2 linked regions of the Medicago truncatula genome follow. The protein of the gene in region 2 binds, or shares a complex with, the protein of the main gene of each other region. Links are inferred from orthologs where the notes say so. Each region holds a gene or a part of one and is shown on either strand. Other genes may lie near its edges.

Region 1 (3,836 bases), on a different chromosome or scaffold from region 2:
AAATCGAACCAACCCAATAAAAAACCGCAAACTGAACCAATCCAAACTGAAATTGTAAAAAACCGCATTTGGTTCGGATGTATTTGGATCACTTTCTTACTCAACTGTATAGTTTAGTTTGGTTTGTGGTTTTTATTTTATCAACCGAACCAAACCAAATCAAACCGCAACATAAGATAAACACTAATTAAACATTTGTCACCTAAACCAAACACTCACATAGCCTCAATGATAACTTTTATAAAATGACATATTTTTTGCTTTGTTAAATTTCTTATTTGATTTTTATTTCAAAAATATATCTGTGTTACTTGGACTTTTAGATAATGTAAAATCTTAGTATTTAGAATTTCTTTCGAAATAGGATAACTTTTTATCCATCTTTTTAATTTGGTTTATGTTGTTGGGAACATTGTTAGATGAAAATGAAATTGTAATGTTGAATGACATTTAAAACATCGTTGAAAACATAGCTGAAAATATGTTGTGTTCTAGCTTTTTAACTTGATTTTAACGTTGAAAACAAAAAATTGTATGAGAAAAACCACACCAATTGATCCAACCCAAACCACATTGGTTTGGTTTGGTTTGATTCAGATTTTATTTTAAAAGCCGACCGAACTAAACCAAAACGCATGTCTGTTTATCTTACAGTTCATATGACTTTTAAGTATTAACCGTAAAACTGAATCAAACCGCACCGCGAACACCCTAGTTATTACTTGTAATTTTTATTTAACATTTTTAAACATTCAACAATATTAACAATCCAAATTGTTACACCCCTACTAAGCATTTATATTTTGTAACAAAATTTGGTTCCTACAATTACTTATTTATGTTCTATGAAAATTCTACTAAGACCAAGTTCTTTATGAAAATCTTACTAAGGCCCACTTACGTTTTATGAGAACCTTATTAAAACCGCGTAAAATTAAAATATAATTGAAAATATTCCAAATTTTTCTTTATACAAAATAATTAAAAAGGTGGCTTTTATAATTCCCTCAACAAAAAAATGGCTTTTATGATTGCTTAAGCAGTGCACAGTAAAACAACCTACAAACGTTGCTAATCCACATCTCGCAGCGTGGGAGACCCATCAACGTAGCGCACCCTAAACGGAGCCGTTTCTTCGAGGTAAGAAGATCCAACCCACACTGCTCTTTCTTTCATTCGTTCGATTCAGTTACTTGAAACATGCAAATTTTGCTGTGTAATGCTAGGTTAATTGTAGTCCCTGTTTTGTTCATTGTTGAAGCAAAATCATCATAACCCATAATAACTCAATACGAAAACAGGGTAATAAGTTCTCAAATTAGGGCTTGATTTGGTAGAACAATAATTGAAGATAATGGAGAAATGCATATTTTAGTTGTTACAATTCTGTGAAACTAATGGGGTGCAGAAAAATAACCCCTTTTGTTTGTTTTCTTGTTTAACATGTTTGTTCGCAAGGTGTTTGTCAAAATGCCTCAATAAGGTTAATACCTGAATTGGAAATTTTATCATAAATAAATAAGTTTAGTTGTATTGCATGAAATACTGACACATACACAGACACGATCTTGACACTGACACATACACAGACATGATCTTGACACTGACACATCAACACTAGTGATAAAAAAAGTGAATTAATTGAATGTAATCACATTTGTAGTTTTCAGACACCCGACACGCCTTCAATCAGAGGTGTCAGTGATACGATGGTTGTATTTGTATTCATTTTGATGACTATAAGTGTAGTCATCATTCCAGTTTTTATTCTATAGGATTATGTGTGCACAGGAAGCATAGCAGAACCTGCACACATTTATCAAAAAATTCAAGTTTTATGTATTTTCAGTTTCCTCTTTCCTCTAACTATAGTTACTAAAATGACAGTGGAAGCATTAACCAACAACAATGAGCAATTCTGCCGCCGGAACCTCATCAAAACAAAGAGCAGCTTCCTCACAACCACCAGACACTTCATCCAAGCGCAGAAGAGGAGTTTTCCAAAGAGAATGTAATAATTTTTGTTCCTAAGTTTTTAAATTTTAGCGTAGTTATTTCTATTGTCTTCCTAATCTTCTTCATTGGTTTCTATAGTGCAGCACATGATGTATGGCTTCGGAGATGATCCTAATGTAATTCTCATTCTAACTTTTTCATTTTTCATACTATGTTTGCAAATTTTTTATTCTTTAGATTATGATATTAATTTGAACTTTTACTTATTCTTGTTTTCCACTTGAATTAGCCACTTCCTGAAAGTGTGGCGCTTATGGATGACATCGTTGTAGAATATATTACAGAACTGGTAAGTATCATTCTAATGTATCTAATTGTTCAACTTAGTCTAAGTGCCACGGAGTGGTTGGCCTTTGTCCTTACATGATTTTTTATTTATTTTTTTGTCAAGGTACATAAAGCACAAGATATTGGATCACAGAGGGGGAAGCTATCAGTTGAGGATTTCCTCTATTTGATTCGCAAGGTACTCTTTTGTTAATAAAAGTTGCAAATATAAATCTTGGGGAACAAGAATCTAAATTTATCTTCAAATACTGCTGGAAATGGAATGCTACATACATGCTGTTGTCACTATTCTCAAGGGAACCATGTGATTTAAAAAAGTTTAATCACCTGCCCAACATGTATTAAAAGAGAAATGCAAAACTAAATAAATGAAGGGTTAATGGTGCTTTACCCCCTGTCATATAGGTCATTTTTGGTTTTCCCCCTGTAAAATATTTTTTTTGATTTACCCCCCTGTAAATTTTTTTTTTTTTTTTTACAGGAAAACCAAAAATGACCTATATTACAGGGGGTAAAGCACCATTAACCCATAAATGAATAACTTAACTGTTATAAGAATACTAAGAAAAGCTAACTAAAATTCTAATGAACATTTCTGTACACAGAATACTATACTTATTGAACATCTTTTTGTAAGTACTTTATTTAAATCTTACACTTCTATTAGCTAGAAATATCACTTCTGGTCTGCCTTTATGGATATATGGTCTTCATTTGCTTATTGCAGGCAATAAGCATGCTATGTCACAGTGGCCTGCAATGGTGGTTTAAAGTTAATAGTTGGGAAGTTGTTAGTTGTTAGTTAGTTACTGGTATTAGTCTCCAATTCAATTTTTATACGAGTCTTTAAAGGTCTTCTACAGAGAATTCTTTCTCAAGTAGGATATTCCCAAGCTTCTATAAGCCAAAGTCGGTATTAATGGTTCTTAAACTTCAAACCTGTGAATCAGTTCCTAATCCTAAATAACCTGTATTGGTTCAATAATCGGTTATCTAATGTATCTGTCAAATCTGAGGTTAGGATCTATAATCTTGCCTTAAATCGCTTAACTCTTTGGATCAACAGGGTAATTGTATGGTACATTATTCATTAACAATGAATATGGGCACTGTTAGCACTATAATAGCCGGACTGCTGGACACAGTTCTGTTGTTGACTATACGCTGCCAACTTCCTCATCTTAAACTTGATTGACCATGGTGCTGTCCTTTGGACCCCACTCATGCATAATTATGCTGTACATATATCTCTTGTTTTGATTGTACATTTTTGTTGAGATTTCCCTCCCTTCTTCCATAGGCTTTATAGTTCTAGGACAATTTATCAGATTAACATTAGATCTCTTATCATTGATCAAACTTTGGGTTGAGTGAACTTTGTCTTTTGAGGATTAATAAGTGCTACTAATGAAGCTAAATGCACCATAAGATGCTAAGATTATGTGTTGCAGCCTCCTTGCAGAGGTTAGTTTTCTGGTTCCTTAAAGGCTCATACACACTTCGGCTTAAACCTTTCCTACACTTGGCCAGGA
Region 2 (3,600 bases):
AAAACTGCATGATATAGTTTTTCCTGACAGACAACTTCACCTTGTTCAACAATGCCAGGCGGTGTTCGTGGTGACTTTCCTGACAACTGCAAACAGAGCACATTCTTATCAAGGAAAATTGAAGAGGTGGAGACAATGAAAATACAAAGAAAAATTAACAGTTAACGCTTGTTAACCAAATCAGAAGATAGCATTTTGATTTATAAATTCAACACTACAGCCTGATAATGATATCTAGATATGTACAGTAAAAAAAAAATACAATAATAATAAATTTGATATCCTTACATCTATATCTGTCAATGATGGACCCAGCTTGTCAGCCAATGCAGATAGATGCTCCTTTGCATCCTAAAAGGAAAAATTCTCATTTAGCACCAATTTTACTGTTTTTGACCAAAACACATAAACAAATGAAGAAAGCATAAACGATCCAGAACAAGAAAATGTGCATCCCACAATAATTATAATTCTAAGAATAATTATAATTCTATTTTTCAAAATAAGAAAACAAATCCTAAATGAACAATTATCCTGGAACCTCCAACAGATCCTACAAAGAATAATTGATCTGGAACCTCCAACAGATCATTAAAAGTAGTTCAAAGTATAGGCATTAACATCAATCTTGTTGTACACATACAAAGGCAAGCTTTTATCGCACTCTATACTCAGTTGAAAATTATGATGCCTAAAGTCTTAAACCTATTTAATAAAGATCAATTTGACTTGTAAAATAACCACTTGATCTTAACAAATAAGAATCTATGCACACTACTAAATCAAATCTTCCAAAGTTGAATCTCAGGTAATTCTTTAGTTTAGACAACCATACTGCGCCAATATGTCCAAACTGCATCCTTTTTTGTTTTTCAAAAAGCTACAATAAAGGTTTTTGTAAAAACCTGTCCTCCTCCCAAAAAATAATATATCTCAAAACAGTAAATATGGTTTTTTCTTTTACAGAAACAGTAAAAATGGTTTTAAATCTTCTAATATAAAAAAGTTTAGCAACTTCAAAACCCTCCGCATACCAATCATGATGATACTACAATAGCTTAGAAATTTCAGGAAACTACTGAGAAGGTGCGTAGGGAATCAATCAAGCAAAATAACAAATATATGCATGCAGAAGCCCGATCTTGGTTCTCAAAACATTTCAACAAGCAAGTTCACAGAAACATCAAAGGACACATTAAATTACCTCATCAAGATAATCAACATCGAGATCACCAGAATTATCAACATTTCCAAACATGAACCCGAGAAAATGATTACCCTTGCCAGACTCCTCATATTCTTCTTCATCATCTATCAAGCCAAATTATTGAACATACTGAGTTAATGAACTATATAAACCAAAAAAACGAAGCTAAATAAATCAACACCGCGTCAAACTCACAGACAAACGGCTTGACATATTTCAGCACATAGCAATTAACAATGATGCCACCAAGTCAATCCTACTTTAGGGTTTGTTTAGGGGAGAGATTTTGGAGGGGAGGGGAGGACTTGTTTTCTCTTCTAAATTATGAAAGCTATAAAGTATGTTAAAAAAATAATGAAGTGCAATGAATTGTTATATGTCATGTAAATGAATAAAGTGTGATTGAATTGTTATATGATCATATACCATGGCATTCTTTCACCTATTTTAAATTCTCAAATATATACTAAAATATAAGACTTAGCCCTCCAAAATCCATCTCCCAGATTTACCCTTAATGACTAAGCCTATTCTTAAAGTGCCGGTGCAACTAGAAAGCTTAACTTTCATAAACATCCATTATAAGCAAAGAAAATACATCTAGATTCTCGGTGATACATCAATCGATCATTTTCACAAAATTTAGAAGCGAAAACTCCGTCCCACTGCTCCTGATTCGTATTTATCATTACTTAACTCGATGCCCAGAGTTGTTTATTTGAGTAAACTAGGGTTTCATTACATTTCTAGCTTCTAATAGTGCTCCTTCAAAAAAAAAAAAATTAATATTGAATCTGAGAAACACTATAATTAAATTTCACATTCATACACTTCCACTTTCTCCTAGTTCCTTTAACTTCTGATACTCCTATTCTAAAATCTTCAATAAACAAAGTTACCTTCGTTTCTCCCATCTTGTGAATTATCCGAATCATACCCCATGTTGTTGTTGAGCGGATCAAGGTTTCAAAAAACGGACCGGTACCGGAATTGCGGACGTTACAAAACGGTATCAGCGGCCACCGTGACCGTTTTTGGACCTTTTCACGTCGAGAACAAAAATCACAGGAAAATCGCCGATACGGAACGCCGTTACGGACTCCGTTACAGACTTGAAAATTCAGAAATTTGAACAGGAGAAGAAAGAATCTTATCTTTTGTGCAAGTCAGGCATCTCAAACCTGAATTTTATCTTTTTTACACAAATCAATTACTTACTTCTCTTCCTGCTTGCGATTTGCGATTCTGGTGTTGCTGTTTCTTGCTTCATTCTCTTTGTTCAGGTTTGCGATTTGCGATTTGCGATTTTGCTGTGTTTCTTTCTTTTTTTTGAGATGGTTTATTCATATATTTATTTTAAATATGGCATTCGTCCATGTAATTTCAGACGCATTTTGATTTTTTTCTTTTGTAAAATAAAAAAATATTTTAAAAATATCCTGCAAAAAATTAAATTGTTTTGACCATATGATAGTTGCTGACTGTGCAACTATAATTGCTGACTATGCAACTTTTGCCACATGATACTGACCTGGCATACCACATAATTAGTTATTTATTTTTTTTCAAAATTTTTTTTTAAATTAAAAAAATCTGAAAATAAATTTAAAAATCATAAAAAAAATTAAAAAAGCTGAAAATTAAATTTTTGACTTTTAACTAAATTTTTTTTTCTTTCAAAATTCTGAAAATTCTTTTTTTTAATTAAAAAAATTCGAAAATAAAACTGAAAATTATATTTTCAAAAGTTATAAATTTTGAGATTATATAATTTTTTATTTTATTTTTCAAACATTTATTTCCAGATTTAAAAAAAAAAACTAATTTCCAATTTTTTCTTCATTTAAAAAAAATGGAATTTTTTTATGATTTTTTTATTTATTTTCAGTTTTTTTAATTTTAAAAAATATTTTTAATGATGTGGCAACTGCCATTTGGCCAAAGTCATCCCATGTCAGCAAAAAAGTGGGGTCATGGATGTTTTTAAAACAAAAAAAAAATTGCAAGGATGTTTTTAAATTTTTTTTTACAAGGACGAAAATCAAAAAGTACTTTAATTACAGGGACAGAATGCATATTTAAGCCATTTATTTATTAAACTCAAACAAAAAAAAAAAGTGTGCATTCATCTCTTATTTATTAAGTATCCGCGTGAGTTTAGCTCAGTTGGTAGGGATAATGCATAATATATGCAAGGTCTGAGGTTCGAATCCCGGACACCGCCAAAAAAATCTCTTATTTATTAAACTCGAGGTAATTTTAAATTGATACTCTTAATTTGAGTATTTAGGTAACAAATACTAGATGAAATTTTAGAGAAAAAATTGGGACTTTGATGTTAGAACTTTGAACTTTGATTGTATATGTTGTTGTGATTGTGATTTTGTTGGTGG

Evidence for each region. The genes of interacting proteins can lie anywhere in the genome.
Region 1: transcription initiation factor TFIID subunit 1 (region 2) and transcription initiation factor TFIID subunit 13 share a complex: the UniProt entries of both Arabidopsis thaliana proteins name them as parts of the TFIID complex. The link is inferred for Medicago truncatula from reciprocal best matches to the Arabidopsis thaliana genes HAF01 and TAF13.

Annotation. Positions count from the first base shown.
Region 1 is NC_053042.1:42,954,316-42,958,151, forward strand, and holds the start of transcription initiation factor TFIID subunit 13, read left to right. Parts: upstream 1-982; 5' UTR 983-1,140; intron 1,141-1,887; 5' UTR 1,888-1,908; coding exon 1,909-2,011; intron 2,012-2,094; coding exon 2,095-2,132; intron 2,133-2,245; coding exon 2,246-2,305; intron 2,306-2,407; coding exon 2,408-2,482; intron 2,483-3,031; exon of another isoform or gene 3,032-3,768; intron 3,769-3,836. UniProt on the Arabidopsis thaliana protein: TAFs are components of the transcription factor IID (TFIID) complex that is essential for mediating regulation of RNA polymerase transcription. May be involved in polycomb repressive complex 2 (PRC2) mediated repression.
Region 2 is NC_053046.1:11,046,298-11,049,897, forward strand, and holds the start of transcription initiation factor TFIID subunit 1, read right to left. Parts: upstream 2,530-3,600; 5' UTR 2,478-2,529; coding exon 2,426-2,477; exon of another isoform or gene 2,150-2,425; coding exon of another isoform or gene 2,107-2,149; intron 1,312-2,106; coding exon 1,205-1,311; intron 352-1,204; coding exon 289-351; intron 87-288; coding exon 41-86; intron 1-40. UniProt on the Arabidopsis thaliana protein: TAFs are components of the transcription factor IID (TFIID) complex that is essential for mediating regulation of RNA polymerase transcription. Core scaffold of the TFIID complex.